Ovis aries: one gene and its partners. The protein of the gene in region 1 interacts with the protein of each later gene in a biochemical or structural test. Links are inferred from orthologs where the notes say so. Each region holds a gene or a part of one and is shown in the gene's direction. Other genes may lie near its edges.

Region 1 (6,692 bases):
CCAAGAGCAAGCAGTTGGCACGTTTCTCCTAAGGCCTGTCTCCTAGGCCTGCACCTGGCAGCCTTCTCACTGTATCTTCACATGGTTGCCCCTCTGTCTGAATGTCTGTGTCTTAATCTCTTCTTATAAGAACACCAGTCATATTGGATGGGCCCACCCATTTTACTTTAATCACCTCTTTGAAGGCCATATCTCCAAATACAGTCACCTTCTGTACTGGATGTTAGGACTTCAGCATATAATTTGGGGAGAACACAGTTCAGCCCATAACATATCCTGATCAATTCCTGAATATTTTTCCAGTTAAATTATATTAAAATATTTATCTGCAAAATTATTCCCATGTCTCTTGCACACAGCCCTTCTGGATGAAAGGCCTGGATGAGAATAAAAGATTATTGAAAAAATGTCAGGTTAGTATTGCTGATCAAAAGCCTGGCACCCAGGGAGCTTTGGGGGCGGGGAGAGCATTTATGATCTTCATTTCTCAGAAATATTCTGGAAACTTTCCCCTTTTCCTGAAGGAAAGCTCCCAGTGCCGTCAGCTGGAAGATTGACCCTCAGCTGGCATCTGGGTTCTTGAATTTCAGGAGAGTTCTCACCATTCCCTAAATGACAGGAGTTGCTTACTGAATTTAAACTGTGTAAACTGTGGTTTATGCTGCATGCCTGCTTTCCTTCCAGGAGTGTAGAATTTTGGTGTGTTACAGGCAGAGGGTGCCTGTGTGACCAAACCCCAGAAAAGCCCTGGGCTGGAGTCTCTGATGAGCTTCTCTGGTAGATAACATTTCACACGTGTTGTCACACTCATTGCTGGAGGAGTTGTGTCCTGTGTGACTGACTCCACTGGGAGAAGACTCTGGGAAGCTTGTGCCTGGTTTCCTCTGGATTTTGCTCTATGCACCTTTCCCTTGGCTGATTTTGCTTCATAACCTTTCACTGTAATAAATCCTAGTCATCTGTGAGTAGAACTATATGCTGAGTCCTGTAGGGGGATGGTCTTGGGCCCCCCCCCCCCCGCCCCAGGGCACAAGGAGGACTTACGGGGTGGTTGGTCGTGTACTCTTTCTCAGTCTGGGTGCTGCTTACATGAGGTGTACTCATTTTGTGAAAATTCACTGAGCTGTCCAATTAACAGATGTATACTTTTTCGGTACATAGATTCAACTTTATAAAAAGATAAAACAATATTGTACACCACAGGGATTAAAAAATAATAATTTTTAAAAACAACTCCCTTTTATTTATAAAGCATTTTAGTCACTCCTTTTTGCCAAGCATTGTGCTGAGAGCTTGGGACATGGGGTAGGAAAGATGTCTTCATTGCCTCTGAGTTTATTGGGAGTTATGTAAAGAGATAACTGATATGACTTTTGCTGACTCCTAGCAAAGACATCATAGGATGCTGGGCTTACAACTTGAGTGATTCTCAGGGTTGCCACTTAAGTATCTATGGAAGCCAGACAGGCAAAGGGGCAAAGGAGGGTTATCAGGGAACTCTGACAAACTGGGAAGGTATGTTAAGTAAGCATAGAGTTGCAACAGCTAATAGTTTTTTCAAAGTTGCATTTTTATGTGAGCTGTCTTGATTTTTCACTCCTGTATATGAATCCAAATTTTAAAAAGTGAAAGACCAAACAAAACACCTCTGCAGCCAAATTTGACCTTGGCTTACCAGTTTGCCAGGCATTCTGCCAACCTGTCATCTTTCCCTCTTACAAAACACTTGAGGGTCCACTATTTTAGGCACTGGGAAATAGAGCAGTGAGCCAGCCAGACAATTTTCTTGCAGAATGACCCTGGCGGGGGTGGTGGGGTTCTGGTACTGTACTTCTCAAACTTCAATATGTGTGGGAATCACTGGGTAGATTCTGAATTGGGGGGGTCTGCGTTGAGGCCTGAAGCTTTGGCTTTCTAACAAGCTCCCAGGTGTTGGTGATGTTGGTGGCCCCTGCTGTTATTTGAAGAAGAGTAGGGGGTTTGTCTGGAAGATGCGTTTGCCTGGCAAGCATTCTCTTTAGACTTCGATTTTAGTTTATGGGGTGATTTGGAAGAGAGCTGGTGACTTCCGGGGCGGATGTTAGGGCTCCCCCATGCTGTCTCTCATTCTAGGTCTCTATTCTCAGAGTTTATAATCTAGAAGGCGAGGTGGGGATGGAGGAAGGTGCTGGGAAAAGCTTCCTGGAGGAGGTCCTCGCGGACTGCAGGAGCTTCCCCTGCCGTCGAGAAAGGAGAAACCCTGAACGCACCCTCTTCTGGGGCGGGGTCTCAGCAGCCCCACACCAGCTTTGGTTTCCCAGGCATCCCACGTGTCTTCCGTCCGCCATCCCTGCCAATCAAGCTCCTCCCAGGGCCTGGGTGAGAGTTTAAAGGCGGCTGCAGTGCCGAGCGCTCCCAGAGTGCCGCGCGGCGGGCGGGTTTGGATTTTAAATCCCCGCGGCCAATCAGTAGCGCGTAGGCTCTTGTAACGTTCCCGGCGCCGCGTTTGAATTCGAGGAGAGGCAGAGCCGTGCCAAGCCTCTGCCTAGACCCTGCTAGGTCCGCTGAGCAACTCCGGGAACATGAGTGCGGCGGCAACTGCAGGGAAGCTGGGGCGGGCACCAGCCGACCCAGGGAAAGCGCCCGGAGTTGCAGCTCCCGGGGCTCCGACGGCCGCCCCGCCGGCGAAAGAGATTCCGGAGGTCCTAGTGGACCCTCGCAGCCGGCGGCGCTATCTACGGGGTCGCTTTTTGGGGAAGGGTGGCTTTGCCAAGTGCTTTGAGATCTCGGATGCGGACACTAAGGAGGTGTTCGCGGGCAAGATCGTGCCTAAGTCGCTGTTGCTCAAACCGCACCAAAAGGAGAAGATGTCCATGGAGATATCCATTCACCGCAGCCTCGCTCACCAGCACGTCGTAGGCTTCCACGGCTTTTTCGAAGACAACGACTTCGTGTTCGTGGTGTTGGAGCTCTGCCGCCGGAGGGTGAGTGTCGCTGCTGGGGAACTGGAACTGCCCTGGCGTCAGGGGTTGGGGCACTGGGAACCGGAGCTGCTGGGGAAGGGGCGCCCCGGGGCTCAGAGCTGCTAGGGAAGAGGTGCTGGGAACCTGGAACTGGAAATGGAGAAAGTCTTGGGGAGAGGGAAGGTTCTCGGCACTTGGGGCCTCTAGGGAAGGCGGCTTCTGAACGCTAGGAGTTGGGCGGATTGGGGGAGGTGCGGGAGAACCTTGCTTATGGACGCCAGGGCTTTGGAGTTGCTAGGTAAGGGATATTGCGGACCCTCACTTTCCCGAGTAGGGTTGGGTCAGGCAGAGGGTAGTTGGAGCCAGACTTCGGAGCTTCCGGGGGAGGGGAGGGGCAGGAAAGGGACCTGTTGCTGCCAAGAGTTCCGGGACCGGGATACTGGGGTCTCTGAGCTTCCGGAGGGGTCTGAGAGAGGGGTCCCAGGTAAGGGTTTTGGGAGGGAGCCAGTGGGAGAGGGTTGCTATGAACTGTTGCGGCCTGGTTTTGGGGGGGGGGGGAGTCTGGATCGCAGTTGTCCTGAAGAAATGGTTAGTAGCGTCCTGGCTGCCTTTACCTAATGACACTCCCTCCCTGCCTTGGGTCTGAGCACCGGCTCCCATTTCTCCTTCCCTCCTGCTCCCAGTCTCTCCTGGAGCTGCACAAGCGGAGGAAAGCTCTCACGGAGCCCGAGGCCCGCTACTACCTGCGGCAGATCGTCCTGGGCTGCCAGTACCTGCACGGAAACCGCGTTATTCACAGAGACCTCAAGCTGGGCAATCTCTTCCTGAACGAGGATCTGGAGGTGAAAATAGGTAAGGAGCTGGGACTGCAAGGGCATTTGACATGCAGTGGGAATGAGGAGGAGCTGGGAGGGAGGGTGAGGGAGAGGAAATTTGGAAAGAGACAAGGGAGAGAGGAAGAGGATGGTAGGAAGTCTGGGCTGTTGATTGGCTGTAGAATCCTCTCTTAGGACAGGAACTTAAAGAGCTACAAACCAGTGTCTTGTCTGCAGATGTGCTTTGAGGGGGGCAGTGTGTTCTATACAGTTTGTTTTTTTTTTTTAAGAATTTGGATTTGTTTTCACTTTTTAAAAATATTTTTTCAATTTACTTATTTCGGCTGCACTGGGTCTCCGCTGCTGCATGCCTTTCTCTGGTGCGGTGAGTGGGGGCTACTCTGCGTCGCATGTGCGGATTTCTCATTGCAGTGGCTTCTCCTTGTGGAGCGCAGGCTTCAGCAGTTGTGGCTCCAGCGCTCTAGAGCACAGGTTCAGTAGTTGTGGCACATGGGCTTAGGTGCTCTGTGGCACATGGGATCCTCACCGACCAGGAATGGAACCTGTTTCTCCAGCATTGGCAGGTGAATTCTTTACCACTGAGCCATCACGGAAGCCGCTCCTCATTTTCACTTTTTTAAACTGAGAGCCTTGATGTAAAACTTTGAATTTGGAGCTCCTTTTAAACACTCGAGAGCTCCAGCAGTACAGGGGTAGCGTTCCCTCAAGACAGCTCTTTGCTGTACTGAACAGCAGCTGTTCCCTTTAGATGCCCTATGGTTTGCCACATTCCCCACCCCTCCGTATCACTTCCTCACAAACTTGCCAAGTAGCCATCTTGACATTTACTTGCTTAATCCCTGAAGGTGTTTGAGTTTTGCTATCCCTGTCAGTCGGAGAAGGCAATGGCACCCCACTCCAGTACTCTTGCCTGGAAAATCCCGTGGATGGAGGAGCCTGGTAGGCTGCAGTCCATGGATCACGAAGAGTCGGACACGACTGAGCGACTTCACTTTCACTTTCATGTGTTGGAGAAGGAAATGGCAACCCACTGCAGTATTCTTGCCTGGAGAATCCCAGGGACGGAGGAGCCTAGTGGGCTGCTGTCTGTGGGGTCACATGGAGTCAGACATGACTGAAGCGACTTAGCAGATCCCTGTCAGTTCCCTTTTAGAAGTAAACCCCTCCTTTCTAAGGGGAGGGGTGATGAGAGTCTTTGGGAGGCCCTTCCCTAGGGCCAGCATGGTGGGAGGATTCCTGGGTAACAGGAATCTAGTCCTTGCTGTACACAAGGACTAGAGGCTTTGAGAGATCACTTGACCCTGGTTCTTGATGGTTACCAGCTGAACCAGCTGTCTGCATTGACAGACGACAGAAGCTGGCATCTGAGCCTCCCTCTTCCTCCCTCTGTCCCAGGGGATTTTGGACTGGCAACCAAAGTGGAGTATGACGGGGAACGGAAGAAGACCCTGTGCGGGACTCCTAATTACATAGCTCCTGAGGTGCTGAGCAAGAAAGGGCACAGTTTCGAGGTGGACGTATGGTCCATTGGGTGCATCATGTAAGTTGGGAGTTGTCTCAGGACCCACCAGTCTCAGCAAGGGGCTTTCTGGACATCTCACTTGGCAGGCTTTATCCTGCAGACCTTTCCGCCTTTGGAAAGACTGTTCCAGAGGACAGATGGTCTCTGAAGGAACCCTCATTGCTGAATTGGTATATCCTGTAGGATTCCTGCAGCCTGGGCTGTGGGTTCAGGGAATGAGGGAGGGAATGTCTCCACAAACTTGCTCTAATCCCTTGCTATTCAAAGTACGGCAGACCAGCTGCAGCATCACGTAGGAACTTGTTACGCAGAATCTCAAGACCCAGACTAACTGGATCACAATCTGTATTAAGACCCTTGAGTGATTTCTATGCACAATAAAGTATTAGAACCACTGATCTAAAAAGCAGCATTGGGTGGGAAGAATTAGGCCAGGAGTGGTGCTGGCAGGAGGAGGTCCTGTGGTCTGTCTGGGTCAAGGCCATCAGAGGTGGGTGGTGGGCAGAGAGTTGGGCCTGTTCAGGTGTTACCCCTTTTGTTGTTTCCCTGGATACTGGAGAGTTAGAAATGGCTTTCCTACTTCTTTGCCTTGGAATTTCCCACATGAAAACTTGCAGCCTAAAGTACAGAACTATTAACTGTGGGGCTGCCTCAAGGAAAGTGACCCCTGCTTGGACCTGTTCCATGTTAGCTGGCAGCCTCTGGCCCCTAGATTACCGCAGGCTATAGCTAAAAAGTCACTGGTCCATTAGAACCCAGTTTCATCACCTGTATTCTACTGAGGGTACCTCCCTGCCAGTGTCGTGGCTCCTGGGGCTGCTTAGTGAACTTGTGAATTGTCCTCTGGGGCCCCAGAGTCACAGTGAATGCCCAAAAGATGTCTGACTTCCTTTCTGGCCCTGAGAGGATTCCTCCCTGCATCTGGGTTTTGGTTGGGAGCCTTGAGCCAAATCCCTCCTTGTGCTTACAGGTATACCTTGTTAGTGGGCAAGCCACCTTTTGAGACCTCTTGCCTAAAAGAGACCTACCTCCGGATCAAGAACAATGAATACAGTATTCCCAAGGTGACTAAAACCACTTTAAGTTTACATTTGTTTTATTTAATTCCCTCCCCCACCAAGTGATTTACAGAGCCCAGCCATTTCCGGGGGAAAGAGATGGGTCAGTGCCACCCCATGGGTAAGTGTAACAGCTTTAGAGGGTCCTGTCTGAAATTGCATACAGAGGCTGATGTATGTGTACAGAAACAGTTTTTCTTGGGATGAGAGTTTGCAGGCTTTCATCCGTTGGGGAGATAACCCAAAAGACGTGAAAAACAGAGAGAAAGAGCCAGAGTAGGGGCAGACGGAGAAGTGCTGCTTAGCCTGGCTGTGGACTGTCTTGGTTCAGATG
Region 2 (5,603 bases), on another chromosome or scaffold:
TCATTAAATTGATACCAAAACCATACAAGACAGCAGCCTCTCCCCCCAAAATAGAGCAAGTCTGCCATACCTACAGTTACATGTGAATGTTCGTGACTACATATTAGCAAATTCCCCTCTCCCTCCAAAAGAAATTCATGACCAAATAGAGTCGATTACAAAGGCTGGTTCCGTACTCGAAATTTAACCAGTGTGATTCACCATATTTAAAATCGCAGGATCATATCGGAGCAGAAAAAGGAGCTGATAACAGGCCTGGAGGGTTGGCGGGCATGGGGGTCAGGAGGCCTCTGTGAAGATGGGGCTGTGATGGTTTCCTCTGGGTCCGGTGCACATTGCTTGGGGGGGTGGTGCGGAAAGAGGGGTTGCGGCTCCCCTCGGGGAAGCGCAGCATCGCCTCTGGGCCCTGGAATCCTCTTCCGTGGGGAAGGTGGGGGGCGGGACGGGGCGTCCAGGGAGGAGCGGGGGTCGCGCGGCCCCTGGCCTCCTGGCGCTCACGCCGGTGCCCCGCCGCAGGTCTACGCCCACGCGGGCGCAGCGCTGGACGGGAAGATGTACGTCACCTGCGGCCGCCGCGGGGAGGACTACCTGAAGGAGACCCACTGCTACGAGCCGGGCAGCGACACCTGGCACGCGCTGGCCGACGGCCCGGTGCGGCGGGCCTGGCACGGCATGGCCACGCTGCTGGACAAGCTGTACGTGATCGGGGGCAGCAACAACGACGCGGGCTACCGCAGAGACGTGCACCAGGTGAGCGGGGCCGCCTCCCGCGGGTGTCAGTGAGGAGCCGGCCACGCAGCAGGCGGGCTGCAGGGGGGACACGGGCGCGTTTCTGGTTACTAGGCTGCGTTTCCTAGGGCGGCTTCAGCTTCGCAGCCAAGCCGAACAGAGCAGCGAGGCTTCCCGTCGCCCCCGCGCCCACCGCCTCCCCACACTTGGCACCCGCACCTCAGGGTGGCGTCCTTACAGCTGATAACTCGGCTGGCCTGGGGTCACTCCTGGGGGTGCACAGTCGGGGTTGAGACAGATGGCACGTGTCCACCACTAGGGTGTCACAGAGAGGTGTCACCTGCCTGCACTATTCTTAAAAGCTTTAATTATAAAGTTAGTCTAACCACATTGCAGAACTCTGGGAAAATGGAGAAAGGGGACAAGAATTCCTGAAATCTGGCCCCCAGCCTGGAGTGTTAGCCCTCCTGAACGCCCGCCCACCTGCCCCGGCTCCGTGGGTGTGTCCTCTCGTTTGAGGGCCGCCCCACGCCACCCAGTGGCTGTGCAGAGTTCATCAGACCGCTGACGTTGGGGCTGGTCAAGTTGTGGCCGTTTCAGGTAACATTTGAAGCAGCGTTTGCTCCGTGGAGCTGTTTGGGTATCTTGGGTCATCTCCTGAGGCGAGAGCTGCGGTCCTTGAAATGTGGCTCCTGGGCCAGCAGTACCCACATCAGGAGAGAACTCACCAGGAATGCAGGTTCCCTGGCCCTCAGCCCGCCTGGCTGGGTCTCCCCAGATGGGACCCTCCCTGGCCCTCAGCTCGCCTGGCTGGGTGTCCCCAGACGGGGCCCCCAGCGCTCAGAGCCGCTAGGCCCCAGCGTCTCAGTTCCTGCGGCAGCTGGGACAGACCGCCCCCGGTGCGGGGCCTAAACCCGCGGGCGCCTGTGCTGGCAGCCTGTGGCTCTCACTTGACAGTCCAGGGTGCGTCCTCAGCGGAGCCCCGGGAGGGTTGGCGTCCTTTCACCCGGGGTGTCAGCAGAGCGCAGCCCCCTCGGTGGGGCCGGGTCCTGCTCCTCACCGCTGTGAGCTGAAGCCCTTATTGGCTTCTGGAAGCCTGTGGGCCGGCCGCTCGGGCCCCTTCCCCTTCCAAGCCGGCAGCTCCCCTCCCATCTTGGGCCTTCACACGTCCCCTGCTGCTTCCAAGGGCTGTGCAGTTAGGCGTCCCCGAAGATCCAGGGTCGCCCGTCCGCCCGTGTCCACGTCCCTGCGCTTACCGCCCGCAGAGGCCGGCCCTGGTGGCCAGGCCTCCTCGCAGTGGGAGAGGCAGGGCTGGCGTCCACGTGGCTCTGTGCAGCTCTGCACGTTGCCGCCCTGACTGGTCAGATGGGCGCCTGGCCGGTGCCTTTTCTCCCCCAGTGCCCGCTCGTTAACAGCTGACGATTTGTCCCTGAGGTTCTGTTTTGCAATTCTTGGATTACTAGTAGGTTGAACATTTCCCCTGGTTCCCACGTTTACTATTTGGGGTAGCTTTGAAGGCAAGATGATTTTTTTTCTCTATTTTGGCCACACTACATGTCTTGTGGGATCTTAGTTCCCTGACCAGGGATTGAACCTGGGGCCCCAGCGGGGAAAGTGCGAGTCCTCACCACTGGGCCGCTGGGTACTTCCCAAGAGAATGTTGACAGTCATCACGACTCAGCAAGCCTGTCTCTCCATTTTATCTGCATCTTGCCCGGTGCTCCGTGCGCTTGGCTTCTGAGTTTCGGCTTCAGCGGTGGAGGGGAGTGAGCCAGCACCCCCAGGCCAAAGGGGAGACAGCCACGGGCCTGGGGCCACCGGCCGGCTGAGGGGCTGGGGAGGTGGCGCAGGGCAGCAGCCGGTCAGAGCCCTCCCTGGGGGCCCCCAGCCCCTGAGAGCCCGCACCTTGCCCTGCAGGTGGCCTGCTACAGCTGCAGATCCGGGCAGTGGTCGTCCGTCTGCCCGCTCCCGGCCGGGCACGGGGAACCGGGCATTGCTGTGCTCGACAGCAGGATCTACGTGCTGGGCGGCCGCTCACACAACCGAGGCAGCCGCACGGGCTACGTGCACATCTACGACGCGGGCAAGGACAGCTGGGAGGAGGGGCCGCCGCTGGACAACTCCATCTCGGGCCTGGCCGCCTGTGTGCTCACCCTGCCGCGGTCCCTGCTGCTCGAGCCGCCCCGGGGGACCCCTGACCGCAGCCAGGCCGACCCGGACTTCGCCTCCGAGGTGATGAGTGTGTCTGACTGGGAGGAGTTCGACAACTCCAGCGAGGACTAGGTTCCCGGGGCGGGGGAGTGGGAGATCCCAGGTGTCCCCCACCCTGCCCGTCGGCAGGTAGGCAGGTGTTTTGGGGGCTCGCAGACCTGTGGCAGGAACCCTCTGGGAAGGGCCCGGTCTCCAGACAGCCCCCAAGCCTCTCCTCCTCAGCAGGCGTGGCTGGGCGCCGGCACCACTCTCCGCCTTAGTCACTGTTGGGCTGAGAGGGCGCCTTCTCCCAAGGGGGTTGGGGACGGGCCCCCGCGGGGGAGCCGGGCTGAGCCCATCGCCAGCCCAGCAGCTCCTGAGACGGAAGTGGGAGCAGAGAGCCAGCCAGGGGCCTGAGGCTGGTTGTGATAACAGGGCCTTGCAGCTGGGCCTTCCTGCCCCCGTGTTGTTGATAAATGAAATAAAGCACCTTCTGCGAGGCGCGTTGCTCTCCTTTGGCCTGGGCTGAGTGGCTTCTGGGGGGGAGCCCACCCCCGGCTGGAGGGTGTCACCAAGACACATGTCCCTGTCTGCGGACCCCGGCTGGAGCGCCTCTCCCACTGTGGACCTCTCCTGTGAACCAGGATTCCGGTAGCCGTCTTGGCGCCAAGGGAAGCTCAGCACCTGGGGAGGGAGGGCGTGAGAGCCTCAGGGGGCGCCTGTCTCCTGCATCTGAGCACGTCCTGCGGAGGGGCCTCTGCATTTCCTCCAGGTAAGCTTCAAGGACCCTCCTGAGTGGGTGGGACCTGCAGGTTCCAACGCCGTTTTCCGCACTGCCCAACCTGCACCAGGACACTGTCCGCTCCTGTGGGGTCCTCTCACCCCCTCCTGCAGACCCCCACCGCTCTGGGTCTTTGCCTTTGTCCCCACGCCCCACCCCACATGACACCACGCGCTTAACACTTCAGGCCAGGCAGCGAGCCCGGCCTTGACCCTGGTGGTCCTTTCCCACAGGACAGGATGGCCACTTGTCCAGGGTCATCCTCCGACTCCCAAGGGTGAGGTGCGGGACCATGAGCTCGGAGTGGGGGCCCCTGTTTCTGTGTCTGCCACCACCCTGCAGACCTCGGAGGTTTCTGTGAAGAAGGGCCAAGACGCCCGTCCTGCCCCAGAGTGTACAGGCCTGCCGCAGCTGACTCCCCAGCCAGGCACCAAGGCCTGGCTGCGAGAGGCCTCTGGTCTGCAGGGGATGGAGAGGAGTCTGTGAGGACCCCAGGGCATGGGGCGGGGTAGACGTGGGGCCTGGAAGGGTTCCTAAGACCCGGGCCGTAGCCGGGCCCTGCCGTGGACCAGTGCAGCATTGGCCCACAGCCAGCAGCCCGCCCCCTCCTCCCTGAGCCCAGGCAGCCCTTGCCAGCTGGGCAGGCTCTCCGGCTGCACTCAAGCCTCCAGGCCACTCTCTCCCTTCAAAGTTGGCTTCCTCCGGGAGCCACCCCCGCCAGGCCCAGGCTCTGGGCCTCCACTACTGGCCTCTGTGCTGGCCAGTCGTGTGGGCACGCCCTCATTTTGGTATCCACCTGGCACAGGCCAGGCAGACAGACGGCCCCCCACTCCGCCTGTACCCAGGCTCCCGATGGGGGCGTGGGTGGGGCCGGGAAACTCGCCATCAGGCACGAGGTGGGCCTGAGACAAGGCTGGGGATGGTCCTGTCCTGCGGGCAGCAGACACAGGTGGCACACGGCCAGGGCCGGGCAGAGAGTTGCATTCAGACAGTCCTGAGGGGCCTGTCACAGAGCTGGGGCCCGAAGGAGCTCTGGGGCTGGAGGGGGGCGGGGAGGTGATGGGAGTCTGAGGTTCCTGTCCGTGAACCCAGTCCAGCTGGGCGACGCCTCTAGAGCCAGGAGCAGGGCGGATAGAGCAGCCGCACAGACCTCTGCTGGCCACCCTAGAGGGCAGCCAATGGGGGTTCCGTGGGAGGGGCCGGGGCCCTGGGAGAGCTGGCCGTGCCCTGCAGGGCTGCCCGGAAGTGGTTGGCCTGTTGACTTGCCCCAGAGAAGTGTTTGCGTTTGTGACCCCAGGAGTTGGACATCCCCGCCACCCTGCCTGAGGCCGCCCCCATCCTGCACCAGCGCGGCTGGCGGAGGGGGCCCCAAACCCCCGGGGCTCCCTCGCACCAGTCTGTTGGCAGCCCAGCAGTGCCCACAGCCTTGGGCCTGTCGGGGCCTCTGACCAGGCCCCCTCCTCCTTGATGGACCCTCACATGACAGGCAGGAGCCCTCCTTGGGGAGCCCGAATGGAGCCCGCCCCCCACCCTGGCCCTGCCTCTGGCTCTGAGGTCCCTAGAGGCCCAGCTCAGCTCTGCTGGGAGCTGGCCGCCCCGCTGCCGTCCCCTCCCCAGGCCTGCCTGCCCTCCCTGCTCCTCGGGCCTGGAGCTCCGTCTGACCCCTCTGCTGCCCTGTTCCTCCAGGTCCCCAGGCCCCACGCACCCCGTCTCTCTGCCGCCTCTGCCCCACTCTGGATTTAGGAGCCTTGGGCCTCCGGGAGTGGCTCCACCTTCTGGAAACCCTCTGGGACCAACGGCCTCTCAAGCAGAATCCCTCTCCCAGGCTCCTAGCGCACTTCTCACCTCGACAAGGGCTTGTAGGCAGCGGTTGCGTCCCTGGCTGCCCCCACCGCTGACCCCG
Region 3 (6,173 bases), on another chromosome or scaffold:
TACAGGATTATTGAGTGTCTTCTACCTTACCCTGGCTTGAAAATAAATCCTTAAATTTCCCAAATTCCTACTTCTATCTAATAAAAGAGGAACAATTCCTTTCTTTCAGAATGAAGAGAGGTCATACTACATAGTTGAGGGGTAAGGAGAGAAAAGATATGGGCAAAGCAGGTAGAAGTGGCTTGGGCTGGAGATCAGAAAGGTTTTGGAGTTTAGTACCCAACTGGGGAGCTTTGTTTATGAGAGTCACTCGAGTAGTTTTTAATTTAAATTTAATATTTTAATTGAAAGGGCTTTTTGGAAGTGTTTGAGTTATAAATAAAATCTCCTTTAATGGTGTTTGATGGTAAAGTAAAGGATATAAACTCCCTTTTAATTGCTTTTGCTGTTTAAAGAAGATATGATTAAAATTTGAGCCATACGCCCTTCCATTTATTAGAGTTTGATATTAATAAGAAAAAATGTGGATACTAAAAATAGTACTGGTTTTCACTGTCAAGAGGTTTGAATATTAATCTCTTAGAGTCAATACTACTTAGGTAAAAGGCTTAATCTTTTTTCCTCAATTTCTTCATCTTTTAAATAATACTTTTGCTTTTGTTAGGAAAAAATGAGTAACTTCTAAAAATGTGTGTTGTATGATTACTAGATGTAATATACACATGCAGACAGAGATATGAATGAATGGAGATATGGATGCAAGTCCTACTTGTAATCATGTGTGACAATTCATTGGCCATTTGAATTTCTGGGGAATTTTTAAATGACCTTTTCCCATTTTTATGTTAATCTATTAAAATTGAGATAAGCAGTTTTTGGTTGTTATTTGATAAATGAATAATATTACAGTATTGAAATATTCTTAAACATATTCTGTCATTGAAAAGATACTGATAAAACCTTATATTTTTAATTAACATTGTATTTTTTGCAAAATATTTTTACATTATTTCAGTTGATCCTTAAAACAATTTCTGAGGTGGTTGGGGCATTGTCCCCATTATATAGGTGTAGAAACTGAAGCATAATTAAAGTCTTGTCCAAGGTCACAAAGCTGTTAAGTGGTATAGGCAGACCTGGATCACAGGTCTTTGGAGCCTTCTCCAGTGCTTTTTGTAGTATACTTTGTTGTCTCATTAAATGACTCTATATCATAGAATTATCTTTTCATATTTGCTACTATGCATGAAGGTAAAAGAATGAAAAGAGAATTCTTAGGAGTACTAGCTTTATCTTCATTTCGATTTTTCTTCATAAAATCATTAGTTTCTGAACTCTTTTGGGAATGGATAGGAAACCTAAATTGCTGCGGCTTCTTTTGCATTATTTTTTAAATTTTATTTTCCAATTTTATTATAGATGCTGTAGTTAACAAAGGAGTGGATGAGTCCATAGGCAAAGGAGATGGTAAGAACCGTTGAGAAGTATTTTTTATCAACGTTAAAAGTGATTTTGTGTTATCTACTTCTGTGTAACAAATTACCTTAACATTTTGAAGCTTAAAAGAATATTTATCATGTCATAATTGTGGATTAAGAATCCAAGCATGGCTTAGCTGGATGCCTTTGGCATCAGGTATCTCATGATGCTTTAACTAGGGTGTCAACAGGACTGCAGTCATCTCAGGGTATGACTGGGCAAGGATCTGCTTCCAAATTCATTCATGTGGCTGTTGGCTAAAGATATCAGTCCTTACTCATGTGGGCAGCTGACAGCAGAGCAGCTGACTTCACTCAGAGCTGGTGTGAGATGGAGAGGGCACTCAGGATGGAAGCTAAGGACTTCCCTAGTGGTCCAGTGGTTAAGAATCTGCCTGCCAAAGCAGGGGACAAAGGTTTGATCCCTGGTCCAAGAAGATTGCACAGACCATGGAGCATCTAAGCCTGTGTACCACAGCTACTGAAGCCCATGCCTTAAGGCCTGTCTGAATGCCTCAGCACGAAAAGCCACTGCGGTGAGAAGCACATGTGCAGTAATGAAGACCCAGCACAGCCCAAAGTAAATAAATATTTTTTAAAAGATGGAAGCCACAGTGTGTTTGTAACTTAATCTTGGAAGTGAAATCCACCACTTCTGCTATATGCTCTTTGTTAGAAGCAAGTTCCTAGGTCCAACCCACATTCTAAGGGAGGTATTTATATGAGGCTGTCGATCCTTGGGAGGAGGCAGGGATCTTGAGGAGCCATCTTAGAGGCTGTCTACCAAGATCCACCTCAGATACATACCAAATTGACAGTTTTATCAAAAAATTTTATTGACTAAAACAGTCATCATGCTTTGCTGTTTTCAGCATATCTTCACATACAGTATCTCTTTTATACCTCATCATTTAGGGCAGTGGATATCATCATTCATACTTACAGATCACCTAAACAGTCACAAAGAGTTTTACAACTTTTACCCCAAAAACTCAAATGAAGTAAGGGATAGAGCTGACAAGTGAGCTTGTCTTTTGAATCCAGATCCCATGTCTTCCTACTGTATTAACATATCTATTATGTTAAGTGCTTTTCTTAAATATCCGAGACTGGGGACAGTCCATGTAAGTGCTGGCTTTTTTCTTTTCTTTTTCAGGCCTTGACTTTCTACCACAGTTGAACTCAGTGTTTCCTCCAAGAAAAAATCCAGTAGTTTCAAGCACTTCAGTATTGCATTCTAGTCCTCTTAATGTCTTTATGGGGTCTCCTGGGAAAGAAGAAAATGAAAATCATGATCTGACAGCTGAATCTAAGAAAATGTATCTGGGAAAACAGGAATCTAAAGACTCCTTCAAGCAGGTATCTGCCTGTAAATGATATTGAACTCACTGCGTGTGTTTATTACTAGCAAGTATAATGCATCTCATCACTAGAAAGCAGGCAGCTGCCACTGGATATACCCTAATTATTGACAGTGCTGTGCACTTACTAGGTGGAAAATATTCTTAAATCTTGATGTCACATGTTAAAAACTGAAGAACACTTTTGAAATCTGTCTTTGGATATGTTGGAGGTAACAGCAGGTATAATCTTACACTGTTTTTTCCCTAAGACAAGATACTTGATTTAACTGTAAGAATATTTTATCCCTGAATTCTCTTAGAATGTATTTCCATTGCAGCACAAAGCACCAAGTTGGTGCTTTTACCCTAAGTCTTAAAGCAAGTCGATGGTGCTGAGAATGTGACTCATCATCATTACCTTCTGCTGTAATCTAGTAGGGTCTGTTGTTTAGTATGTCTGTTTTCATATTTATCTTTTAGAATGGTATTGAGGAGAAACTTAAGAAATATGAAAATCTTTTGACTGACTTTTCAAATATTCCTGACTAGTTATCCCATGAGAGTCTGGGGATTTATTTTTTATTTATTTTTTGGCCTGTGATTGCCATCTTAAATGATATTCAACAGCGGATTCTTAGTAAATAAGCTTTTCCTTGTCATCATCAAAATCATCAAAATTGTTTTTGACCAGTAAAGTTAGTTATTTTGTCATGGTGCTAGCAACATTTTCTTTTCTCCTTCAAGATTCCTTTCTATTCTTCCTTTTTCTGACCCTATTTACTGGGGAAAAATAGAGAAAAGTAGATACAAATTATATGGGTAATATGGATAAAACCAGAATTTTTTTAACTTTTGTATTGGGGTATAGCCAATTAACAATGTTGTGATAGTTTTAGGTGAACAGCAAAGGGATTCAGCTGTACATATACGTGTATCCATTCTCCCCCAAACTCCCCTCCCATCCAGGCTGCCACATAACATTGAACAGAGTTCCGTGTGCTTTACAGTAGGTCCTTTGGATAAAACCAGAATTTATATATTAATTATTTATTTTAAATGTGAAGTTTGCAAAGTTGATCTCCGGTGCTGAAACTGGAAATCTAAATGCCTCTCCATCATCTAACCAAACAAGAAGCCCTGAGAAATTTGAAAAGCCAGAAAAAGAAATTGAAGCCCAGTTAATAAATGAACCTCCAGGCAATGGATCCTCAACTCCAAGTAAGAACATAAAACTTCTGATGTTTAAGTGTTAAGTTGAAAACTCCCATTATTTAACTTGTAAAGGATAAGTTGACAGTCAGTGATCACAGATGAAAAAGTTAAAGGAATTTAAAATTTGTGACACTTCTCTAGTGTGTGACTCTCTTACTAGAAGACAGTAAAACGAAAGGTTAAATTCAGCCACATTAACTTGGTATTCTTTGGGTATGAATTTCACTTTCAATCCAATATGTAAGTGTCTTGTCTACTGTGGTACAGATAGGAATATAATATAGGGTCATTAACTACCTGAAAATGTCTTTTTCTTTTTCCATATTAAAGTTCTGTCTGTATAGAGTTCATGGCAGAGACCTTAAAAACTTGGTCACATTTAAAGCAATATTAGGTTTAGCAATAGGAGTTATCTATACAAAAGAACTCTTTGTATAGAAGGAGCTCTTTTATCTAGATATCTGTATTTTGAGGTTTCTGTGGATATATTGCATTAGCTTAAACTCTAGGGCTTTGCCTCAGAACTACTTTACTCCTATGTTCCTTCTGTTTGTTTCTAATAGTCTTGGTTTATCCAGCAGCTGGTCACATTCATTTTTTGTAAGAGAAAATGGTTCAGAGATCCTTTAAGACTTAATTCCTCTGTCAGATGTTATTACATTAGACAGTTGGCAATTTTTATATATATATATATATATATATATATATATATATATATGAATGACTACTAGAAATAATGTCATAGAAAGTTTCTAAGACTTGTATTCCAGACAGTGAATTTTTCTAAATGTCATAGGAGGACTGTTTTTGTTTTTTTGTTTTTTTGGTGAGGAGGGGAGGTTGCCAGTTTTTCAGGCTTTCTCATGCTGAATCATATTTAGAAGTATTTGATGTCTCTTAGTCCAAGCTCACTATTAATATTTTCTCAAATTTTTATTTCAGATCCGAAGATAGCATCCTCTGTCACTGCTGGAGTTGCTAGTTCACTATCAGAAAAAATCGTTGATACCATTGGAAATAGTCGGCCAAATGCACCGTTGTCATCTGTTCAGATCCGTTTTATTCAGAACATGATACAGGAAACCCTGGATGACTTTAGGTAATTGGGAAATTACTCTTTCTGTGTAGACTTTGACTAGCTTATTTTTGTTAGGTGTAAAACCGTACCTGTGAGTAATGGTGGTGGTGACTACTTTTGCGTAGGTTCTGGGATGTGTAAAAATGTAGAAGACACGATGGGTTTTGTGAATCTTTAAGTGCCGAGTTTATTTTATACCAGCCAAGGAAAGGCACGTTTCCCTGGGGCAGTTATCAGAGGACTTGACAGTGTGGCGGCTGGCTGCCACTGTGGATTTTTTTATCATTAAAATGTGGGCAGATTCTGATGGGCTCAAATGGGATTCCTACAGTATTCATAGACCGCCTGTTAACTATGCTATGTGCAGTAATGTGGTAGAGAAAGACATTTTTAAAGGAATTTTGAATATTTTCAAATAGAATGTGTCAGAATATACCTGGTGGCTCAGATGGTAAAGAATCTGACCCCAGCGCAGGAGACCTAGGTTCGATCACTGGATCAGGAAGAACCCCTGGAGAAGGGAATGGCTACCCACTCCACTATTCTTGCCTAGAGAATTTCATGGATGGAAGAGCCTGGGGGGCTACAGTTGATGGGATCGCAGAGAGCTGGACTCAACTGAGCAAATAACACACACACAGAATATTAACACATAATTTTAAAAAGTTCTTGCCTGGATCTGCCCTTGTCTTCTCATTCTGAATTTTGAACGTTGTAAGAATGTTCTAGAATGTTGGTTCCTTTTACCTGTGTTCTCAATATATTTTGAAAGCTCTTTTCAATTATCAGAATCTTTTTGCGTTTTTTTTTCCCTTTCTGACCTTTACTTAGTACTTTTGCTCGGATTTGGGATATCATGAGCAAGAATGTTAGAGAAGATGTGTAGTTTTTGTTGTTACATGTTTCTTTTTAATGTTAAAAATGTTTTTTAAAAATTTAAATGTTAAATATATTTTTAAAGAAAAATAATCAATTTGACTTTTTACATTAATTAATTAAAATCGGAGGATAATTACTTTATAGTATCATGGTGGTTTTTGCCATACATCAACATGAATTCCGGAGAAGGAAATGGCAACCCACTCCAGTACTCTTACCTAGAGAATTCCGTGGACAGAGGAG

The links. The genes of interacting proteins can lie anywhere in the genome.
Region 2: the proteins of PLK1 (region 1) and KLHL22 form a complex in vitro, tested with the Homo sapiens proteins (2 studies listed by BioGRID, with this or other methods). The link is inferred for Ovis aries from reciprocal best matches to the Homo sapiens genes PLK1 and KLHL22.
Region 3: the proteins of PLK1 (region 1) and NEDD1 form a complex in vitro, tested with the Homo sapiens proteins (2 studies listed by BioGRID). The link is inferred for Ovis aries from reciprocal best matches to the Homo sapiens genes PLK1 and NEDD1.

Annotation. Positions count from the first base shown.
Region 1 is NC_056077.1:21,879,442-21,886,133, forward strand, and holds the start of PLK1 (serine/threonine-protein kinase PLK1), read left to right. Parts: upstream 1-2,454; 5' UTR 2,455-2,561; coding exon 2,562-2,963; intron 2,964-3,625; coding exon 3,626-3,794; intron 3,795-5,173; coding exon 5,174-5,318; intron 5,319-6,270; coding exon 6,271-6,364; intron 6,365-6,692. UniProt on the Homo sapiens protein: Serine/threonine-protein kinase that performs several important functions throughout M phase of the cell cycle, including the regulation of centrosome maturation and spindle assembly, the removal of cohesins from chromosome arms, the inactivation of anaphase-promoting complex/cyclosome (APC/C) inhibitors, and the regulation of mitotic exit and cytokinesis.
Region 2 is NC_056070.1:72,531,006-72,536,608, forward strand, and holds the end of KLHL22 (kelch-like protein 22), read left to right. Parts: intron 1-516; coding exon 517-750; intron 751-1,125; exon of another isoform or gene 1,126-1,329; intron 1,330-2,646; coding exon 2,647-3,012; 3' UTR 3,013-3,418; downstream 3,419-5,603. UniProt on the Homo sapiens protein: Substrate-specific adapter of a BCR (BTB-CUL3-RBX1) E3 ubiquitin ligase complex required for chromosome alignment and localization of PLK1 at kinetochores.
Region 3 is NC_056056.1:166,690,247-166,696,419, forward strand, and holds part of NEDD1 (protein NEDD1), read left to right. Parts: intron 1-1,359; coding exon 1,360-1,407; intron 1,408-2,574; coding exon 2,575-2,777; intron 2,778-3,825; coding exon 3,826-3,979; intron 3,980-4,915; coding exon 4,916-5,072; intron 5,073-6,173. UniProt on the Homo sapiens protein: Required for mitosis progression. Promotes the nucleation of microtubules from the spindle.